Linked DNA regions of Callithrix jacchus. The protein of the gene in region 2 interacts with the protein of the main gene of each other region in a pairwise test. Links are inferred from orthologs where the notes say so. Each region holds a gene or a part of one and is shown on either strand. Other genes may lie near its edges.

What was found.
Region 1: the proteins of HOMER3 (region 2) and SNRPF interact in binary tests that used the Homo sapiens proteins (3 or more experiments, as listed by UniProt). The two-hybrid records come from large-scale screens. The link is inferred for Callithrix jacchus from reciprocal best matches to the Homo sapiens genes HOMER3 and SNRPF.

The regions. Positions count from the first base shown.
Region 1 is NC_133510.1:98,935,568-98,945,639, forward strand, and holds the start of SNRPF (small nuclear ribonucleoprotein F), read left to right. Parts: upstream 1-4,849; 5' UTR 4,850-4,978; coding exon 4,979-4,981; intron 4,982-6,914; coding exon 6,915-7,040; intron 7,041-10,072. UniProt on the Homo sapiens protein: Plays a role in pre-mRNA splicing as a core component of the spliceosomal U1, U2, U4 and U5 small nuclear ribonucleoproteins (snRNPs), the building blocks of the spliceosome.
Region 2 is NC_133523.1:17,624,317-17,633,884, forward strand, and holds the start of HOMER3 (homer protein homolog 3), read right to left. Parts: upstream 9,332-9,568; 5' UTR 8,394-9,331; intron 7,126-8,393; 5' UTR 7,058-7,125; coding exon 7,044-7,057; intron 6,961-7,043; coding exon 6,804-6,960; intron 6,564-6,803; coding exon 6,432-6,563; intron 3,384-6,431; coding exon 3,276-3,383; intron 2,099-3,275; coding exon 1,977-2,098; intron 1,111-1,976; coding exon 954-1,110; intron 603-953; coding exon 486-602; intron 389-485; coding exon 302-388; intron 1-301. UniProt on the Homo sapiens protein: Postsynaptic density scaffolding protein. Binds and cross-links cytoplasmic regions of GRM1, GRM5, ITPR1, DNM3, RYR1, RYR2, SHANK1 and SHANK3.

The DNA of each region.
Region 1 (10,072 bases), on a different chromosome or scaffold from region 2:
AGGTTTTGTTTTGTTTCCTTTCGTGTTTTGGAAACAGCAAAGTCCCGTTTGTACTGATTACCTTTGAAGTGCTTCTGTGGCAAACAGGACTCTTACTCCAAACTCACCACTGCCACCCTGTGGAACCATGGCAAAAAACAGAACAAGGTTGAAAGACTACTTAAGCGAGGATCATCTACTTTCAGCTACTTCATCCACGGACTTCTTTTATTACCTACTCTCCCCTACAGATTGAATCTGATTTACAAAACACAAAAATATCATTTATTTAACATTTGTTTTCCATTTTAATAATCAGATACAAAAATAAATGCCAGTCAGAGCTTCTGACCCATGGTGATCCACCAGTATTTGTATTTTAAGTTGACTCCACTCTAAGCAAAAGCAAAGATGCATGAGGTCTTAGTCTAGAGGCTTTATCAAAATAAATGTACGATATGTTAATTATTTTTCTTTGTTTGTTTTTGAAAATTGTTTGCAAAGCCACAACACTACCTGTAAACTGATCCAGGTTCAGGGGCCTGTGGGGCCATTGATCTCCAGTGGTTTTCAGGGTAACTGTGCTCCCCAGGAGACATTTGGCAATGTCTGGAGATACCTCTGCTTGTCAAACCTGGGTGGGGTTGGGGCTACTGGCATTTAATAGGTAGAGGCCAGGGGTGCTACTAAGCAACCTACTATGCACAGGACAAGTCGCATAATAAGAATTATTTGTGGCTGGGCACGGTCACTCATGTCTGTAATCCCAGCACTTTGAGAAGCTGAGGCAAGCAGATTGCTTGAGCTCAGGAGTTGACCAGCCTGAGCAGCATAGCGAAAACCTGTCTCTACCCAAAATAGAAACAATTAGCTGGGCATGGTCGTAAACACCTGTGGTTCCAGCCACTTCAGGGGCAGAGATGGGAGGATCACTTGAGCCCAGGAGGTGAAGGTTGCAGTCAGCTGAGATGGAACCATTGCTTTCTAGCCTAGCTGAGAGAGTGAGACCCCCATCTCAAAAAAAAAACAAAAACAAAAACAGAAAAGACAAAAAGAAAAAGAAAGAAAAAAGGATTATTTGGCCCAAAATATCAATAATTTCGAGGTTGACAACTGCAATCTAGCCCAATCTCTACAGTGTATAAAGGAAGAAAGTAAGATCCAAAACAGTTAAATGACTTTTATTTTAAAAACTGTTTAAGTTTTAATTAGGCAATACATTCAAAGGTTCCAAAACTACATCATTAAAAGCGTATATAGGACTTGAACAGACATTTCTGCAAAGAAGATATAGAAATGGCCAACGAGCAAATAAAAAGATTCTCAATATCATTAGTCATTAGAAAAATGCAAATCAAAACCATGAGATACTGCTTTCTAACCACTACCATGGCTATAATTAAAACAATAGCAAAAATGGAAAATAACAATCGTTGGTGAGAATGTGGAAAAACTGGAACCTCCATACATTGCTGATGGGAATATAAAATGGTGCAGCTGCTGTGGAAAAGTTTTGCAGTTCCTCAAAAAAAGTTTAATGTGAAATTATGATGTGACCCAGCAGTTCCACACTCTGAGGTATATACAAAAGAAATTGAAAACAGGCACTTACATACTTGTACACAAATGTTTCTAGCAGCAAAATTCACAGTAGCCAAAATGTGGAAACAACTCAAATCCTGAGCTCAGGAGTTCAAGGTCAGCCTGGGCAAAGTGGTAAGACCCATGGCTACTTAAAAAAAAATAGCAAAAAATTAGCTGAATGTGATGGTGCATGCCTACAGTCCCAGCTACTAGGGAGGGTGAGACACGAGAATTGCTTGAATCTGGGAGATGGAGGTTGCGGTGAGCTGAGATCGCACCACTTAACTCCAGCCTGGGTGACAGAGAGAGACTCCATCTTCAAAAAAAGCAAACAAACAAAAAAACAAACTATATATAGATCTCTTGTAAAAAAACAAAAGTGCATATATTACAATAAAAGTTAATGGTTGTTTTCTTTGGTGCAATTACTAGTGATTTTAGGTTTATTGTTTATAATTTTCTATATTTTCTAAAATTTCATATATTTATAATTAGAAAAATATCAATGACTTATGCCCACTTAATTTTAATAAGGTATTTAAGATTAAAATTTAATATGGGCCAAGTATGGTGGTTCACACCTGTAATCCCAGCACTTTGGGAGGCCAAGGTGGGTGCACCACTGGAGCCCAGGAGTTTGACACCAGCCTGGACAACATAGCGAGACCCATCTCTACAAACAAAATTTTTTTAATTAGCTGCGCGTGGTGGCACATGCCTGTGGTCCCAGCTATTTGGGAGGCTGAGGTGGGAGGATTTCTTGAGCCCAAGAGGTCAAGACTGCAGTGAGCTAAGATCACACCTCTGCACTCCAGCCTGGGTGACAAGTGGGACCCTGTCTCAAAAAAAAAAAAAAAAAAAAATTAACATGAAAAGAAAAACCAACCTTAAATACACTATCTTTACATAGTGTGTTTATTGTAGTATTTTGTTTTACTTCACCGAGAAAACAGCTAAAGATAAAGGTTAGGCTTCTGAAGTACATATTGAGTCTTTGAAAGGTAGCTTAATGAAGTAGAAAAAGCAGTTTTGAAACCCAGGTATGTGGCCCTGAGCAAGTTAGGAGGCAGAAGAATAGGGGCTGGAGGCAGGGAACCTAAGGCCCATTCCTGCTGACTGGGTATCAGACCTACTCCCATTTCAATCCCCCTTTTTTCTGCCTGGCAGTTGAAAAAATGAAAGTACCTCTTATTGGTCTCCTCCCACAACCAGTCAGACTGGTCGTGGGCCTAACTCTTCATTCTGATTGGTCCCCTCCTGCAACCAATCAGACTGGTTGTAGGCCAGTGGGAACATTTTAGAGGGTATTTAAACCCCAGAAAATTCTGTAACCAATGCTCCTGAGCAGCTTGCACTAGGCAGTGTTCACCTCCCCCCCGGAGTGTACTTTTATTTAAAATAAATCTTTGCTTTCGCTGCCTTGCTTTGTTTGTGCATTTTGTTCAAAACGCCAAGAACCCAGACAGCTACCCTCAACCAGTAGCAGTTACCTGCTGGGCCTGCTTCCTCATCTCTAAAACAGGGCTGTCACCCCGAATCAGACGGTGTGGTAAGATTTCCACAATTGTTAAAAGAGCCTGACACATAGTAGGAACCCAAAGTCTATACAAAGACTTAACATTCATGAAACAATAGGCAAACTAAAGGAGAAATCCACTGAAGTTTAGGGTGAATACCTTCTGATAACCTGTTTGGTAAAAACTACACTGAAAATCACTGTCTTGTCAGTGTTCAACATTTATGTGAATAATAATATTTAACGTCTACTGAGCCTTTACAAGGCCAAGCCCCAGCCAGGCTGAGATGGTTCCGTTTTTGAAGCTGCATTCCTGCCCAGGAAACAATGGCCCTCAGTGGTTCAGACACTGCTTAAAACCGGCGATAGAGGCAAGTTCGAATGCAGTCCCTCTCCAAAGTCTTACCCACTGCTCCACAATGCCTCAATACCAAACATTTCACACTCAATTCCAAATCCATCTCTTCAGGGCTGCAAAAAAGCCTCACTTCCCAAAGGGCGAGTTCTCCAAACACTGCATTTAGCATTTCGGATCCGGGTGAGTTGAACTCACTAGGATTACGAGAAAAACTAGTGAAATTCAGATACGACCATTAACATCGAAAGTTTTAATCCGTGAAATACTGCTTACGCCCTTAAGTAATTTCAAATGCACATAAGATGGCCATGCGGGTCTCTGCTGGAGATGCAAAAGAAAGGTGAGCAAACTTAATCAATTATGGCTTTCAGATTTTAGTTAATGGAGGAAATAGCAAGTTTCCACTTGTCATAATTACAGGCATCACTATCATTCTATCATTATTCTAGCACTAATGAAAGACCTCAAGAACATATAAAGCAGCAGTAAAGGGTGCTAAGAAATGACAGTGTGGTCACGTCAACTTGCCCCATGTTACATCCAGGGTGTCAGGGTTCAAACCAGGTCTGTCTGGCTCTAGAACAATTGTTCTCTGCTACCTCCAAATCCTGTGTATATGTTTTCACTAAACTATTTTGTTGTTTATAGATCTGAATTGGAAGCTGTTGAGTACCCTGAACTTAGCAACTAACTGATATAAAGGTATCCCTTATAGAAATCTCAAACTAATTCTTCATTCCTTTCAGGAAGAAGAGTCTTAAGAATATGCATTATAAAACATGTTTCAATAAAGTTATTGAAAAAGAAAAAGAAAGGTGGGAAGTTGGCGGGGGGGCATAACACTGTATACTAGACGCAACCTGACATCGTTTGAAAGAAATTCTGTCCCCTACTCCCTTCGGTGAGATTCGCCGTCCCTAATCTAGTCTGGCTACCCCACACTCCCGATTCCTTTAAAAGGGGTTGAAATGGATGTTGCATTAAAGAAAACCCTCCTGCAGAAAGGACCTGAGGCAGAGACTCCCCTGAATTCTGGAACATGTTGGAAGAGTGAGAAAGGAACTCTGGGACTCCGAACTTATTCTCACGGGTGTAAAAGGACAGAGTAAATCCCCATTAGCCAAGCTGGGGAGAAGTCACATCCGCACATTCTAAAGGGCACACAGCCTCTCCCGGACCGTCCCTAGAAGAGGGGCAGCACATTTAGAAACACTGGCGGGCCTCTAGTCCTTGGCTGCCTCGCGGCGACCCTCAGAGCGGGTTTCCCAAGGCTCAAGCTCCTCTGGCAAGGCGCAAATCGACACCACTGCTGGTTGCTAGGAGATACTGCCCCGCCACCTCCTCCAATCAGCACGCATCTCTTTGCGTCCAATCACAAAGGCCAGAAGGGCCGTGGTGGGAGGTGAAAGGTCATACTCTTGTTTGGCGGCCATTTCTCTTGAAGCTCGGCGGTTCGGGACTTCGGGATCGGCTGGAGTCACGAGGGACGAGCGGCGGCCTGGTTGGCAGCGAATAGCCTGCAGCATTCGCCCGTGGTTACGATGGTAAGGAGAAAGAGAACCGGGGGAGAAGCGGGGAGAAAGAGGAGGGAAACCAGTCTCGCGGGGCCTGATGGTTGCTTCGCGCGTTTCTCATTCATCCGCGTGAGGCGCCGCGCACCCGGTCGCCAGCTCCTTTCACGCTGCCCTTGGGGTTTCTGAGGCGCGTGCTCCTCCCGTTGCCTTTCTGTTTCTAGGAGTGCCCGTGCTGTCTCCTCTTTGTTTGAATCCGAGCCTGGGGTATTTTTGGTTGGGGCTTCAGGGTCGGCGTAAAACTGAAAGAGAGTGCACTTCTCACTTCTCTCCAAAATTCACTTTAATTCCTTGAAAGTAATATTACAGCCATGCTCTAGATTAACTCAGTCGGGTGGGGAAGACAGACCTTAGTCAAAAACCAACAAATATGCAATTGCAAATAACAAGTGCTAAGAAGCATGTAGACCGGAGGCTGTGAGGGTGCACGTTAGACATTACAGGCTTAGTCAGAGATGGCCTCCCTAGGAGGTGGAATTTAACCAGAGACCTAAGTGTCCTGAAATACCACCCTTTAAAGAGCAGGAGGAGTGTACCGAGCACAGGGAATAGGAGCGTAAGACCTGCAGCCGGAAAGAAAGCTTGGTCAGTTGGAGAAATTGACAGAAAGGTACAGCCACTTGCAAGAATGGTGGCTTCTAATTCAATTAGAAGCCATTGAATCATTTTAAGCAGACATATGACATAATTTTATGTGCACTTTGAAAAATAACAGTTGCCGTGGTGGATAATAAATTGGAGAATGTAAACTGGAGATCCATTAGGTTATTGGAGTAGCACCATGCCAAGATCACTCCCAATATGCTTATCTTAGTTTAGTAGCCAAGTTTCTTAGTTCTGTTTTTTCTTTGACTGGTGAGTGAGCAGATTAGGGCCCAAAAAAGTCTGAATTCACTGGAGATGCTAATGGTTTGTTGAATAAACAAACATTAAGTGATTGCTGTAAAGTCAGATAGGACCTAGCCCTACCTTCCACAGTTAAAGACTGTCAAGTGTGATCTGCCCTCTGCTTCCTTCTGCAGTCTTATATTAGGGGCTTTGACTGACAATGCTGAATTCTTTGTATATCCCCAAAATCATGTTGTTCTCTTCCCTCCTTTTACTTAAGTTGCTACCCTTGCCTGGAGCAGCATCTGCCCCCCCCCCGGAAATAAACTCTTATCCTTTAAAACTGAGATATTACTTAAGGCAACCTTTCCTTTTCTGTGGATTGCTGTGGTACCCTTGTGCCTAGCATATCTCCTCTTACTACATTGCAGTATGCAATATAATTATTTGTATGTGAGGAGCTCCCCTCCCTATCTCCAGCTTCTTGACAGGGACTGTTACTTGTTTATTTATTTTTAAGAGACAAAGTGTTGCTCTTGCCCAGGCTGGAGTGCAGTGGCTTGATCATAGCTCACTGCAGCCTTGAACTCCTGGGTTCAAGCAGTTCCCCCACCTTATCCTCCCTAGTAGCTGGGACTACAAGTGTGTACCATCACACCTAATTATTTTTGGTAGGAATTGGGGGGGGTCTCCCTATGTTGCCTGGGTTGGTCTTGAACTCCTGGCTTCAGGTGATTTCCGTGCCTTGGCCTTCCAGAGTGCTGGAATTACAGACACGTGCCTGGCCAGCATTTTTTTTTTTTTAGTGGCTTTATCTTTGCTTCTTTCAAGCTCAGAACAGTGAGTGATGTAGGTAGTCAGTGTTATCTTAAGTGAATAGTGAGTATTTTGTTTTGATGGGTTAAAGGTGAAACTGGCTAACTGGATATTTAAATTTCCCTGGTACTCATCTTCAACAAATAAAAGTGAAAATTATGTTTTCTTCATTTGCACACCAGAAAATATTGGTGATTTGGTAGAAGGGATTTGGTGGTGGGAGGAAAAGAATTAATTGGATCCTTTTTTGTTCTTTGTGCAGAGTTTACCCCTTAATCCCAAACCTTTCCTCAATGGACTAACAGGAAAGCCAGTGATGGTGAAACTTAAGTGGGGGATGGAGTACAAGGGCTACCTGGTATCTGTAGATGGCTACATGAACATGCAGGTAAGCTGTAAAGGTTATAACATGGCATTGATTTTGCTTCACCTTATTCCTCAAAGGTTTAGTCTGACTAATAAGAATACATACAATTAAGTTGACAAATATATGGCAAAATTCAAAAATAAAGTCAAGGCCAGAGAGGATACCGTGATGTACTAGGTACAAGACATGGGCTTAAACCGGAATTCAGCCACAGATTTTATTCCTAGGAGTTAAAGTAAGAAGAGCTCAGACGTTCAATTCATAATAATACCATAAGGGAAACACGCTACTTTGCTGGAGAAAACAAAACTTTTACCATCATTTAGCCCTGAAAGAAAGTTTTCAAGTGAAATTTTTGAGTCTTTTAATGAATGCTAAAGGTACAACACCAAGCTATTAAAGAAATTCATTCCTTCAAGGGAAAGACAGATCTGCCAAAGGAATTGAACTGACTGTATGTCAGTTTCTGTAAATGATTTAGCCATGTGTTTTGGTAGGGTTTTTTGTAATTTTCTTTTTATTGTGGTCAAACATACATTAAAATTTTACCATTCTAACCATTTTTAAATGTGTAATTCAGTGGCATTAAGTATCTTCACACTGTTCTGCAACCATCACCACTATCCATTTCCAGAACTTTTTTTATCATCCCAAAGTGAAATTCTTTGCCCATTAAACAATAATTTTCCATTCCTTTCTCTACCTAACTAACCCCTGGTAACCACTATTCTACGTGTCTATGAACTGTGCATAATACCTCATATAAGTGGAATCGTATATTTATCCTTTTGTGTCTGGCTTGTTTTACTTAGCGTAGTGTTTTATTCAAGGTTCATCCATGTTGTAGCATGTGTCAGAATTCCATTCCTTTTTTAATTGAATAATATTTCATTATATGGATATACCACCTTCTGTTCCATTTGCCTCTTGGTGGATGCTGGGTTGCTTCCCTCTTTGGACTGTAGTAAATAATGCTGCTGTGAAGACGATTGTACAAATATCTGTTCAAGTCTTGTTTTCAGCTCTTTGGGGTATATACCCAGAAGTGGAATTACTGGATTACTGGTAATTCTATGTTTAATTTTTTAAGGAGGCCAAGCATGGTGGCTCATGCGTATAATTCCAGCACTTGGGGAGGCTGAGGCGGTGTACTGCTTGAGCCCAGGAGTTTGAAATCAACCTGTGCAACATAGTGAAACTACATCTCTCCAAAAAAATACAAAAATTAGCTAGGCATGGTGGTGTGGTCACCTGTATTCCTAGCTACTCAGGAGGCTGAGGTGGGAGGATCACCTGAGCCTGGGGAGGCTGAAGCTGTAGTGAGCCATGATCACACCACTGCACTCTAGCCTGGATGGCAGAATAAGACCCTGTCTCAAAAAAACTTTTTTTTTCTGTCACACTATTTTCCACAGCAGCTACGTGGCTTTTATATACCTACCAGCAATACACAAGGGTTCCAATTTCTCCGCATCCTCACCAACCCTTGTAATTTTCTATGGGTGTTTATAAAATAGTTAACCTAATGGGTGTGAAGTGTATCTTACTGTGGTTTGGATTTGCATTTTCCTAATGACTAATGAAGAGCACCTTTTCGTGTGTTTATTGGCCATTTGTTTATCTTTGGAGAAATGCCTGTTTATGTCTTTTGCACATTTAAAAAATTAGTTGTTTGGGTTTTTTGTTGTTTTTAATAGTAGTAGTTTCCAGGCAGGTTTTTAAAGGCTATCAAGATGGTTGGTCAATCCAGTCATGAACCCTGGGATTCCATACTTGAAAGAAGAGTACTAAAAGGAGTACTTAAGTAGGCAGAGAGCTGTGATTTTCCTGAAGCATTTACCACCTAAGCATAGGACACTAAGGTCCCCAAAGCGTAATTTGGGTTTGGAAAATTCCCTAAAACAGGAATCATTTACCAAGACCATAGAAAAATCTGGGACGTAAATGAATTGTGATGAAAATATTCGGGAATTAGTGGTGATAGTTGCACAGCTTTTTGAATATACTAAAAACCACTGAACTATACACTTTAAAAGAGTGGATTTTATGCTATGGAAATTAACATCTCAATAATAAAAGAATTACCACTTAATATTTGTTTTAGAATCAATATAGCTTGCTAGTGAGCCTGCAAGAGTTACAAAATGTCTGGGTAGCCAACCACTTTGAGTAGTCAACCATATTGATACCAGCATTTGAATTTGTTCACTTAGCAAATATTTATTGATTCCCATTATGTGACTGGCACTGTGAATATAGCATTGAACAAAGCAAAGTCCCTGCCCTCCAGAGTTTATGTTTTAATAGTGGGAGGTGGTAATATAATGTGATAACAGGTGTGATAGATGCCATCCATGAAGAAAAAGGGGGTAGACAGTATGTGCAATATTATATAGGACAATCTCTCTGAGGCAACAAATTCTGGAAGATACCAGAATTAATGTACAACTCAGTTGAGTGTCTGGGGAAAAGCATCGCAGTTTGAGGGAATGGCAAGTACAAAGGCCCTGTGGTGGAAGCATGCTGGGTATGTTCAAGGCATAGCAGGAAGGCCAGAGCAGATTGAGTTAAGGGAAGAATGATAGAAAGTTAGGCTGGAATGGTGGACATAAGAGCCTGTTGAGTGATGGTGAAGACTGAATTTAATACATGATAGAAAGTATTTGGAGCATTATTGTTTAGAAACCAGTTAAATGTTGTAATTACCTTTTACAGAAAATTAATTGCTCTTAATATTATTTCTTATAGCTGTTACATACAAACTAATTGTCTCAATAACCTCATACATTTCAGACAAAACTGTATCATCTGGATAATTAGATAACTTTTTGTTTTCTGTAAGAGGGAGTAACATCAGTAGTAGTGTTCATTAACATATTTTTCATGCTTTATGTTACATCCTAATTTAATCCTTATTGTTAAGCCCTATTTTTCTTTTCCACATGCTTAGTTGTGAAGGAAACATCCCTCTCCCTTCACTCCTCTTAGTTCCGTCTCTGAGTCCCAGGTGGCATTGATTGTGATTTTTGTTTTTAATTACAAGTAAAGCTTAT
Region 2 (9,568 bases):
CGACAGAGTGAGACTCCATCTCGAAGAAAAAACAAAAAAAGCCAAGCCACACCTGGTTCCAGTGCAGGCTCTGTGATTTCCGGCTGAGAACAGGAGGAAATGACAGGGTCTGGCGTGGGAATGCAGCCGGGACTCGAGATTGCCTGCTGAACCCACTGTTCACACAGCGCCTGCCGGCCATCAGGCCTGGCGCGGGCCTGGGACTCCCAATACTACTTTATCATCTTAGGTAGATCGTCCCAATTGTCTGTTGAGGTGATGGTCACCCACCTTCACCCCACCTCCTGGCGCCCACACACACCTGCACCTTCTGCTGAGTCTCCTCGCGCTCGGCAGCCTCTGGGGCTTCTCGGGGCCCCCCAGTCTGACTCTTCAGGGTCTGGATCTCCTAGAGGAAAAGAGTTCCCAGGGTCTGTTCTGGGGGTCCTGGCTTTCCCTCTGGAGGTGAGGGAGGACGAGGCCCGGGAACCATACTTGGCGCTCACCTGGTCCTTGGTTTGCACCAGAGCTTCCAGCTGCTCCAGTGACTGGCCCTGGCCCGGCCCCTCCTTCTCACTGGCTGGGGTCACCTCTGAAGCTGCCTGGGCCTCCAGCTCAGCCACCTGTGGGACAGGAATAGCAGCCCCTACCACCCCTGCCTGCACTCTCCCTTGCTCCCCCAACCTCTAGGGACTCTGCCTCCTGTCCAGCCACATCCAGGACCGAGCACCCAACTCCCTTGGTTGGTGGCACCTCCCCCACTCACGTAGCTTGGACTTTAGGGTCTGATCACCCTCTGAAGTTGGCATTGTCTCACACGCATTTTACAGAGCAAGGAACTGGGGCTGGGACAGTGACCTGCTGAGGTCACCCGGCCAGTCCATGCACCCAGGGCAGATGGGACTGGCAGAGGCGTGGGCTCCACAGTTGCCCGGGTCAGGTGGGGGGCTCTCTTTGGGAGGGGGTGCCCTTACCCGCTGCCGCAGCCGCTCAGCCTCTGCACGCTGAGCCTCCAGCTGCTGCCTCCACTGGGCTGCGGCTGCGTTGGCCTCCCGCAGGGCGCCTGCCAGCTTGTTGTTGCTGTCCTGCAGCGCGAAGAACTCGGCCTCCCACTGTACCTCGCCCACGGAGCTGCAGAAACGCAAGGGTCGGCAGGGGGTGACATGGGGCTAGAGCGGGGGCAGTCAGAGGGCAATGCTGGGGTTGGGATCGGGCCAGGGGTTGGGATCGGGGCCAGGGGTTGGGATGGCTCTGGGCTTGGGTGAGGACGAAGCTTGGAGAGGGTGTGAGGTTGAACTAGGGCGCAGGGCCAGGGTGGGGTGGCACTGACCTGGGGGTGGAGTCAGTGGCGATGCTCCACTAGGGGGCGGGGCCAGAGGTGGGTGGTGTGGGCTGGTGCGTGGCCAGGCGCGAGATTGGGCTGGGGGTGGTGTCAAGGACAATGCTGGGTAGGGGGCAGGGCCAAGGGTGGGGTGGCGTAGGGCCAGGGGATGGACTCAGGGCCACGGTGTGCTGGGGACGTGGCGACACTGGGCTGGGCTAGGAGCGCAGCCAAAATAGTGCGAAGCTTGGGGATGGGGCAGTCCCGAAGAGGCGGGGTCTTGTCAGGGACCTGGTCAAAGAAGTGGGCACATGGGGTCCGCCCAGTAACACTGTCGGGATGGCAGAGGAGGGTTGGGAGGTTGAGGAGAGTCAGCCAAGGGGGGCGTGGTCGGGGTGGGGAGGCGCCCCAGGTTTATCCTAAGCCCGAGAGGCATGGATGGGGCGAGGTTATCAGCCAGGAGACAGGGACCGGTTCAATACAGACCGGCCTGCCAAAGCCGTGGGCGGGGTCGGCTCTGGATGGAGCAGCAGCGGGATCAGCTCCTCCCCTTTCCCAGGTCTTGGGTCCACAGTTAGATCCCGCAGTCCCTGGCACTCCCTTGGCTTTCGAGAACCGCCTCCAAGTCCCGCATCCCCACCCCGTCCCCTGCCGCGCCCCAAGCCCCGCCCCTCACCCCTCGGACAGCATCTTCTTGAGTCGCTCGCGCTCTGTGGGGCCGGGGGCGTCAGCGCTCTGACTGCGGAACAGTTTCTCCTCACCCGGGCCGTTGGCACTGACGAGGGGACTCGGGGGCACCTGTGCACGGGGAAAAGAGCAGGTCACGATGAGTAGTAGCTTCTGTCAGTGGCTGGGATCAAGGCTGATGTGACCGGGGTCGTCACATCAGGGGGTCCAACTGACCTATGCACCCTAAGCAGGTCCTTCACAGCACCGGATCCGAATGTGTCCCTCCCCATCTCACCCACCCTCCATGGCTCCCTGTGGCCCCTAGGCTGAGAGTTCCAGGCCCATGCCCTCAGCCTTGCCTTCCTGGGGTTTCACCACCCCTAGGAGCAAGTCTGATGCAGGTTAGTCTAAACCAAGATACTTAGAACCTCCAAGGTAGGGGAGAGGGACAATCGGACAGCTCCATGCTGTTCCCTTCCCTGTTCTGTTCCCTGTGGCCCGTTTAGGATTTCAGCAGGAAGCCCTGCCCAGGCTGAATTTGTGTTTCATGAGCCACCCCAAAGCCTGGACCGCTGGCTCTGAGGGTAGAGTTCAGCCTGTTTTTCTAAATCTCTGCAACCCCTGTGCACAGCCCTGGGCCTGGTACACAGCAGGCGCTCAATAAATGATGCTGAATAAATTAATGTGGGAAAACACACAGGGCCAGTTCATTGCTGTGCCTCACACTTAGCCATTTCTTTCTGTCACACTGTGTCACCAGGCTGGAGTACAGTGGCATGATCTGGGCTGACTGCAACCTCCACTTCCTGGGTTCAAGCAATTCTCCTGCCTCAGCCTCCCAAGTAGCTGGGATTACAGGTGCACGCCGACACGCCTGGCTAATTTTTGTATTTGTTAGTAGAGATGGGGTTTCACCATGTTGGCCAGGCTGGTCTCAAACTCCTGGACTCAAGCGATCCTCCCACCTTGGCCTCCAAAATTGCTGGGATTATAGGCATAAGCCACTGCGCCTGGCCACACTTAGCTATTTCAATTTCTAGTCTTCCATTCTGCCATCTGAGCTGGTTTTGCTACTGGGACCTACTGGGTGCCCCCTGCCGACCCCAGGCAAGGCCCAGACCCTCCATGACATGCTCCACACCCCTCCTCCATGGCCCCTGCCATGGGTCTAACTTTAGGTCATCTGGGAGCATTGGGTCTTGAGGACTAGCACAGTGCCTGGTCTCCTAATATCAAGGTCCCCCCAATCCTGGGCCTGGTTGACTCACAGGTGCCCAGGAAGCATAGGGGGGCAGGGAGTGCTGACCTGGTGGGAGGCGAGCCCCAGGGCTGGACTGGTGAGCTCCCCGCCATCCTGAGATTTCTCCCTGGCCAGCCTGGCTGCTTCCTTCACTTCCTGAAACTTCTCGGCAAACTAGGGGAGTGGGGAGGAACAGACAGTCAACCCCCAGCCCATCCCCACAAACCAGGTAACCGCCACCCAGCGACAGCCCTGTCACTTTGGAACTGTACCCATTCTCTCATCACACACTGTGGAAGAAGGAGAGAAGGTCTGAAAAATGATGTACCATGGTGGGTGGGCAGGTGGCATCAGATCACGAAGGTGGCATTTTAATACATTGGGCCACATTGAGAAAGGGAAAGGAATTCCCTTTTCCTCTTTTTCTTTTCTTTTCTTCTTTTTTTTTGAGATGGAGTTTCGCTCTTGTTACCCAGGCTGGAGTGCAATGGCGCAATCTCGGCTCACCGCAACCTCCGCCTCCTGGGTTCAAGCAATTCTCCCGCCTCAGCCTCCCGAGTAGCTGGGACTACAGGCACGCGCCACCATGCCCAGCTAATTTTTGTATTTTTAGTAGAGACAGGGTTTCACCTTGTTGGCCAGGATGGTCTCGATCTCTTGACCTTGTGATCCACCTGACTTGGCCTCCCAAAGTGCTGGGATTATAGGTGTGAGCCACTGCGCCCGGCCTCCTCTTTTTCTTTTTAGGAAAGGGTCTCAATTAGTCACCCAGGCTGGAATGCAGTGGCGTGATCTTGGCTCACTGCAACCTTGACCTCCCTGGCTCAAGTGACCCTTCCACCTAACCCCTCCACCAAGTAGCTGGGACTCCAGGTGTGTACCATCATGCCTGGCTAATTTTGTGAACTTTTTGTAGAGACAGGATCTAGCCATGTTGCCCAGAATGGCCCTTTTCCTCCTTTTTTTTTTTGAGATGGAATCTCGCTCTGTCACCTAGGCTGGAGTGCAGTGGCACAATCTCAGCTTACTGCAACCTCTGCCTCCAGGGTTCAAGCGATTCTTCTGTCTCAGGCTCCAGAGTACCTGGGACTATAGGCGCACACCATAATGCCCGGCTAATTTTTATATTTTTAGTAGAAGTGGGGTTTCACCATCTTGGCCAGGCTGGTCTCAAACTCTTGACCTCATGATCCATACACCTTGGCCTCCCAAAGTGCTGGAATTACAGGCATGAGCCACTGTGCCTGCCATTGTTTTCTTTTTTTTGAGACGGAGTCTCACTCTGTCACCCAGGCCAGAGTGTAGTGGCGCAATCTTGGCTCACTGCAACCTCTGTCTCCCAAGTTCAAACGATTCTTCTGCCTTAGCCTCCTGAATAGCTGGGACTACAGGCATGTGCCACCATACTCAGCTAATTTTTGTATTTTTTCTAGAGACAAGGGTCTCACATATTGGCCAGGCTAGTCTCAAACTCCTGACCTCGTGATCCGCCTGCCTTGGCATCCCAAAGTGCTGGGATTACAGACATGAGCCACCACACCTGACCTTTTATATTTTTATATATATATATTTTTGGAGATGGGGTCGCTGGTCTTGAAATTTTGAGCTCACGTGATCCTTTGACCTTGGCCTCCCAGGAAGTGTGGGGATTACAGGTAATGAGCCACCACATCTGGCCCCTTTTCTTTATAAAGCCTATTTCAACAAAGAGAGCCTCAGGTGGGTGCTATTCTGTCTTTAACACCTGTTAGTATTCCTTTATAACAAAGAGATTAGGTCTCAGGCTCTAGGAGACATGGAAAGTCAATGAGAAAGAAATCATCCCATTCTTGTTTTTGTTGTATTAAATGTGTATATTTACTACCTATTTATGACGAGCGATAAATTTCCCAGTTAGGATAGAATATGTTTCCCCCCATCCCATCCCCCTAGTTTTAAAATAAATTTTCTTAGTTAAAAAATAATTTTTTAGGCTGGGTACGGTGGCTCATGCCTATAATTCCAGCACTTTGGGAGGCCGAGTGGGGCGGATCACCTGAGGTAAACAGTTTGAACATGGTGAAACCCCATTTCTACTTAAAATATAACAATTTTCTGGGTGGGGTGGCATTCACCTGTAATCCCAGCTACTATGGAGACTGAGGCAGCATAATTGCTTGAACCCAGGAGGAGGAGGTTGCAGTGAGCCGAGATCACGCCACTGCACTCCAGCCTGGGCAACAAGAGTGAAACTTCATCAAAAAAAAAAGAAAGGAAGGAAAATTCTTAAACTTCTAGAAGAAAACAAAAAAGGCCAGGCGTGGTGGCTCATGCCTGTAATCCCAGCACTTTGGGAGGCTGAGGCAGGTGGACCACCTGAGGTCAGGAGTTCAAGACCATCCTAGCCAACATGGTAAAACCCTGTCTCTACTAAAAACACAAATATTAGCCAGGCAAGGTGGCAGGCGCCTGTAATCCCAGCTACTCTGGAGACTGAGGTGGGAGAATCACTTGAACCCAGGAGGCAGAGGTTGCAGTGAGCCGAGATCATGTCACTGCACTCCAACCTAGGGGACAGAGTGAGACTTTATCTCAAAAAAAAAAAAAAAAAAAAGAAGAAGAAGAAAATCTTCATGAAAGCACTCATCATCAACAAAAGCATAGATAAAGATCATAATGGAAGTATAGAGAGGGCACAGGGCAGAGGGAGGTGACGATGAAAATATCACTGGGGCATGTGGGGAAGTGTCCAGCCCAGCCACCCACTTGATGGCCCATAGAGGATCAGGGTATATCCAAAATTAGAGCTAGAGGAGGGCCGTGGCTCACATCTGTAATCCCAGCACTTTGTAGGCGGAGGTGGGCAGATCATTTGAAGTCATGAGTTCAGGACCAGCCTGGCTAACATGACAAAACCCCACCTCTACTAAAAATACAAAAAATTAGACTGGCGTGGTGGTGGGCACCAGCTACTCGGGAGGCTGAGGCAGGAGAATCGCTCGAGCCGGAGAGGTAGAGGTTGCAGTGAGCTGAGATCACTCCAGCCCGTCTCAAAAAAAAAAAAACAAAAAAATGAACTAGGACTCAAACCAGTGAACCTTAAAGGGGCTTTCAGCTCATCTCATCCCACATGCCCATCCTGCAGATGGGAAGATAGAGGACCTGCTCGAGGTCCCAGAGCCTGCCCAGGAGAACTGGGCTCAGCCTCATCCCCTCCCTCCCCCTCCCCCTCACCCGGCCCACCTGTGTCAGATGCTGTTCGGAGGCAAAGCCGAGGCCGTAAACAGTGTTGGCGCGACTGTCCGCCCACTGCCCAAACTTCTGAGAGGTTTTGGTAAAGGTCATGTTTGGAGTGACAGTGCTGTTGATGATTGCCTGGGGTTGGGGGACAAAGTTCAAGGTTGATGGGACGGATAGTACGAGACATGAAACCCCCAGGTATCACCTTGTATTAGCCTCTGGAAAGTCTTTACTCTGAGCCATTTCAGGGGACAGACTAGGGCCCCGGAAGGCTCAGAGTTTCCCATCCCTTGGGCACACAGCAAGCCAGCCACCAGACCCACGCGTGTCACCAGGACCCCTGGTGCCTCTGCCCCACCTAGACCCCACCCGGACCTTGGCGCCCCCAATGCTGATGATGCGGTAGACATTTCGGGTGGCATCGTAGAAATAGGAGACCGTGAGTGCATGCTTGCCCGCCGGGATCCAGTTTCGCTTGGTGGCCGGGTCAATTTGGAACACGTGCGCCCGTGTACTGAAGATTGGCTGCTCCCTGTGTGGGGAGAGGGTGATCAGTAGGGGCCGGACATGCCCCCTTAGAAAGCTCAGGTCCAGGCTGGGGAGGTGGGAGCTCACCTGGCTGTGGACATTGGTCAGGCGGGGCTGGGCAGGCTCTAGGGGGCAGCCAGAGAGGTGGCAGGAGCCGCTGGTTTGGCCCCTAGGGAGAGAGGAGGGACTATGAGTGTCCCTCAGGCCAGGTTGAGGGAAGCCAAGCAGGTTCCAGCTCAGGACCCATTATCACAGAACTTTCCATCAAAAAGGCAAGAGAGGCCCAAAGCACTGGGTGTGCTTTGGGAGGCTGAGTCAGGAGGATCATTTGAGCCCAGGAGTTCGAGACCAGCCTGAGCATCATGGTGAGACCCCACCCCTACCCAAAATTTAAACAATTAGCCAGGTGTGGTGGCATGTGCCTGTGGTCCCAGCTACTGGGGAGGCTGAGGTGGGAGGATCGCTTGAGCCCAGGAGGTCAAGGCCGCAGTGCAGTGAGCCATGATAGCACCACTGCACTCCAGCCTGGGCAAGAGAGCAAGACCCTGTCTCCACAAAACAAAGAAATGATAGAAAGAAATGAAAAGGCCAGATTATCATTATAGATCACTCAGAGCAAGTGGACCCCATCTTTCTTTGTCTGGGGGAAGCCCTCACCACACCCTGTACAGGAGATGGCCCTCTGAGAGGAGCCAGGTGGCTGCTGTTGACATTCAGATGTAAATCTCTCATCGTCCTAGTTACGGCACCCCCCACCTCGCCCCGTGAAGCCCCCTCCATCCTGGGCTGAGCTGTGAAGGCCACATATCTGCTGAGTTCTTTCCATTCACCCATGACCGGCCAGAGAGAGGTTCTCCATCAAAAATGGGGCATTGAGAGGTGTGTAGTACTGGGAGACCAGTTCCCCACTGCGCCCTGCAGAGGGACCCCCCCAGCTCCCACCCTAGGCTAGAGGCACACCTGGCAGCCCAGACTCCAAATCCCCAGGCAGCCCCCAGCCAAGTTAAAAAGACAAGATGTAGCCAAACAGCCAATCCCAGTGCCCATCACAGGGAGCAGAGCAGAATGCCAATCCCAATGCCACCACTGGGAGAACAGGGCTCCCCAACCTCCCCATTGGTCCATCCAGCCACCCGGATGTGCAGGGGACCAAGGAAGGATTTGGGGGAGGGGGAAGATAGGCGGGGAGGCCCCAGCCCAGCAGCCTCTATGGTCAAAGGGGGTATGCCCCCCCATCCTGTCCTGGGCAGCTGCTGCGCCGGTCACAGGGTCTGAAACTGGAGCCCCTGAGTGGGGGTGGGGCGGGAGCTCTGGCCTGGACCGGAGGTAGGTCCTGCGCCAGGTGGGAGTTGGGGGACGCAGGGGTCCCCGGAACCCAGGCCCTTCCGGTCCGGCCGCTCCTGCTGCGACTTGCAGCGTTTGGGGAAAGTTACTCACCAACTAGTCATGCGCTCGGATGCCGCCGGCCACGGGGCTCCCGAAGGGGGGTCCGACACCGCCCGGTGCCCGGGATCCCCAATCTGGCCGGTGGGTGAGGCCCCGTCCCATGCACCCCACTCCGGAGGCGGGGAGGGGGCCAATATTCATTCAGGATCCAGTCCCCACCCGAGGCGGGAGGACACCCAGTGCGCGACCCAACTCCGGGACGCGCGCCCTGACCCTGGAACTTCCGAGATTCCCGCGACAGCCCCGTCGCTGGGTACAGAACTTCGGGGATACCTCTTCTGCCTCCTCCAACCCCAGGTCCGGAACTCCGGGGACTGCCCTCCGTGCCGCCCCCTCTAACCCGGTCCGGAACTTTGGGGACCCCCTCGTTGTCCCAGACTCCTAAACTTCGAGGTGGACCCCCTGCCACCCTTCCAGTCCCTGGTCCCGGACGTCGGGGCCCCTCCCGCGCCTGGCTCCCACCCCAGGTCCGAAACTTTGGGGACTCCTTCGCAGCCTCCTCCAACGCCGGGTCCAGAACTTTGGGAACCTCCCGCGCGGTCCCCTCACCGACCCCGACTCCAGAACTTCGGGACCCCTGCGCTCCCTCCGGCCCTGGAACTTGGGGGCCCCTCGCGCCGCTCCCAGTCCCCAGGTCCGGAACTTCTGGGGACCCCCCGCGCCCTTCCCTTGGCCCCGCGACTTCGAGGCCCCCGCGCTCGCGGCGCAGTCTCGGCCGGCCGGGCTCACCCTGCCGGGTCGGCGCCCAGCGAGTGTTCGGTCGCAAGTCGGGTGCGGCCCCCGCGGCGCTGACTCCGCGCAGCCGGGCGCCCCGCTCGCTCCCTGGCTCCCGGGCCCGCGCCCTCCGCGCCGCCCTCCGCGCCGCCCGCGTCTTTGTCTGCGCCGCCGCCGCCGCCCGCGCCGCCTCCGGTCCCATCGCGGCGGGTCCCGACGCGGCCGCCGCCCGCCCCGCCTCCCGGGGCCGCCGAGGCCGCCCCGCTGCGCCCCCTGCCGGCTTTTTGCACCGGGCCAGGTGGGGGGAGGGGCGGGGGATTGGGGGAGGGGGCTAAGGGCGGTGGAGGGGGACTGGGGCGTTGCGGGGGTTCGGGACTGGGAACAGAGGGTGGGGACAGAGAGACAGAGGAGAGGGACATCTGGGATGAGAAAGAGACCCAGAAAGAGACACG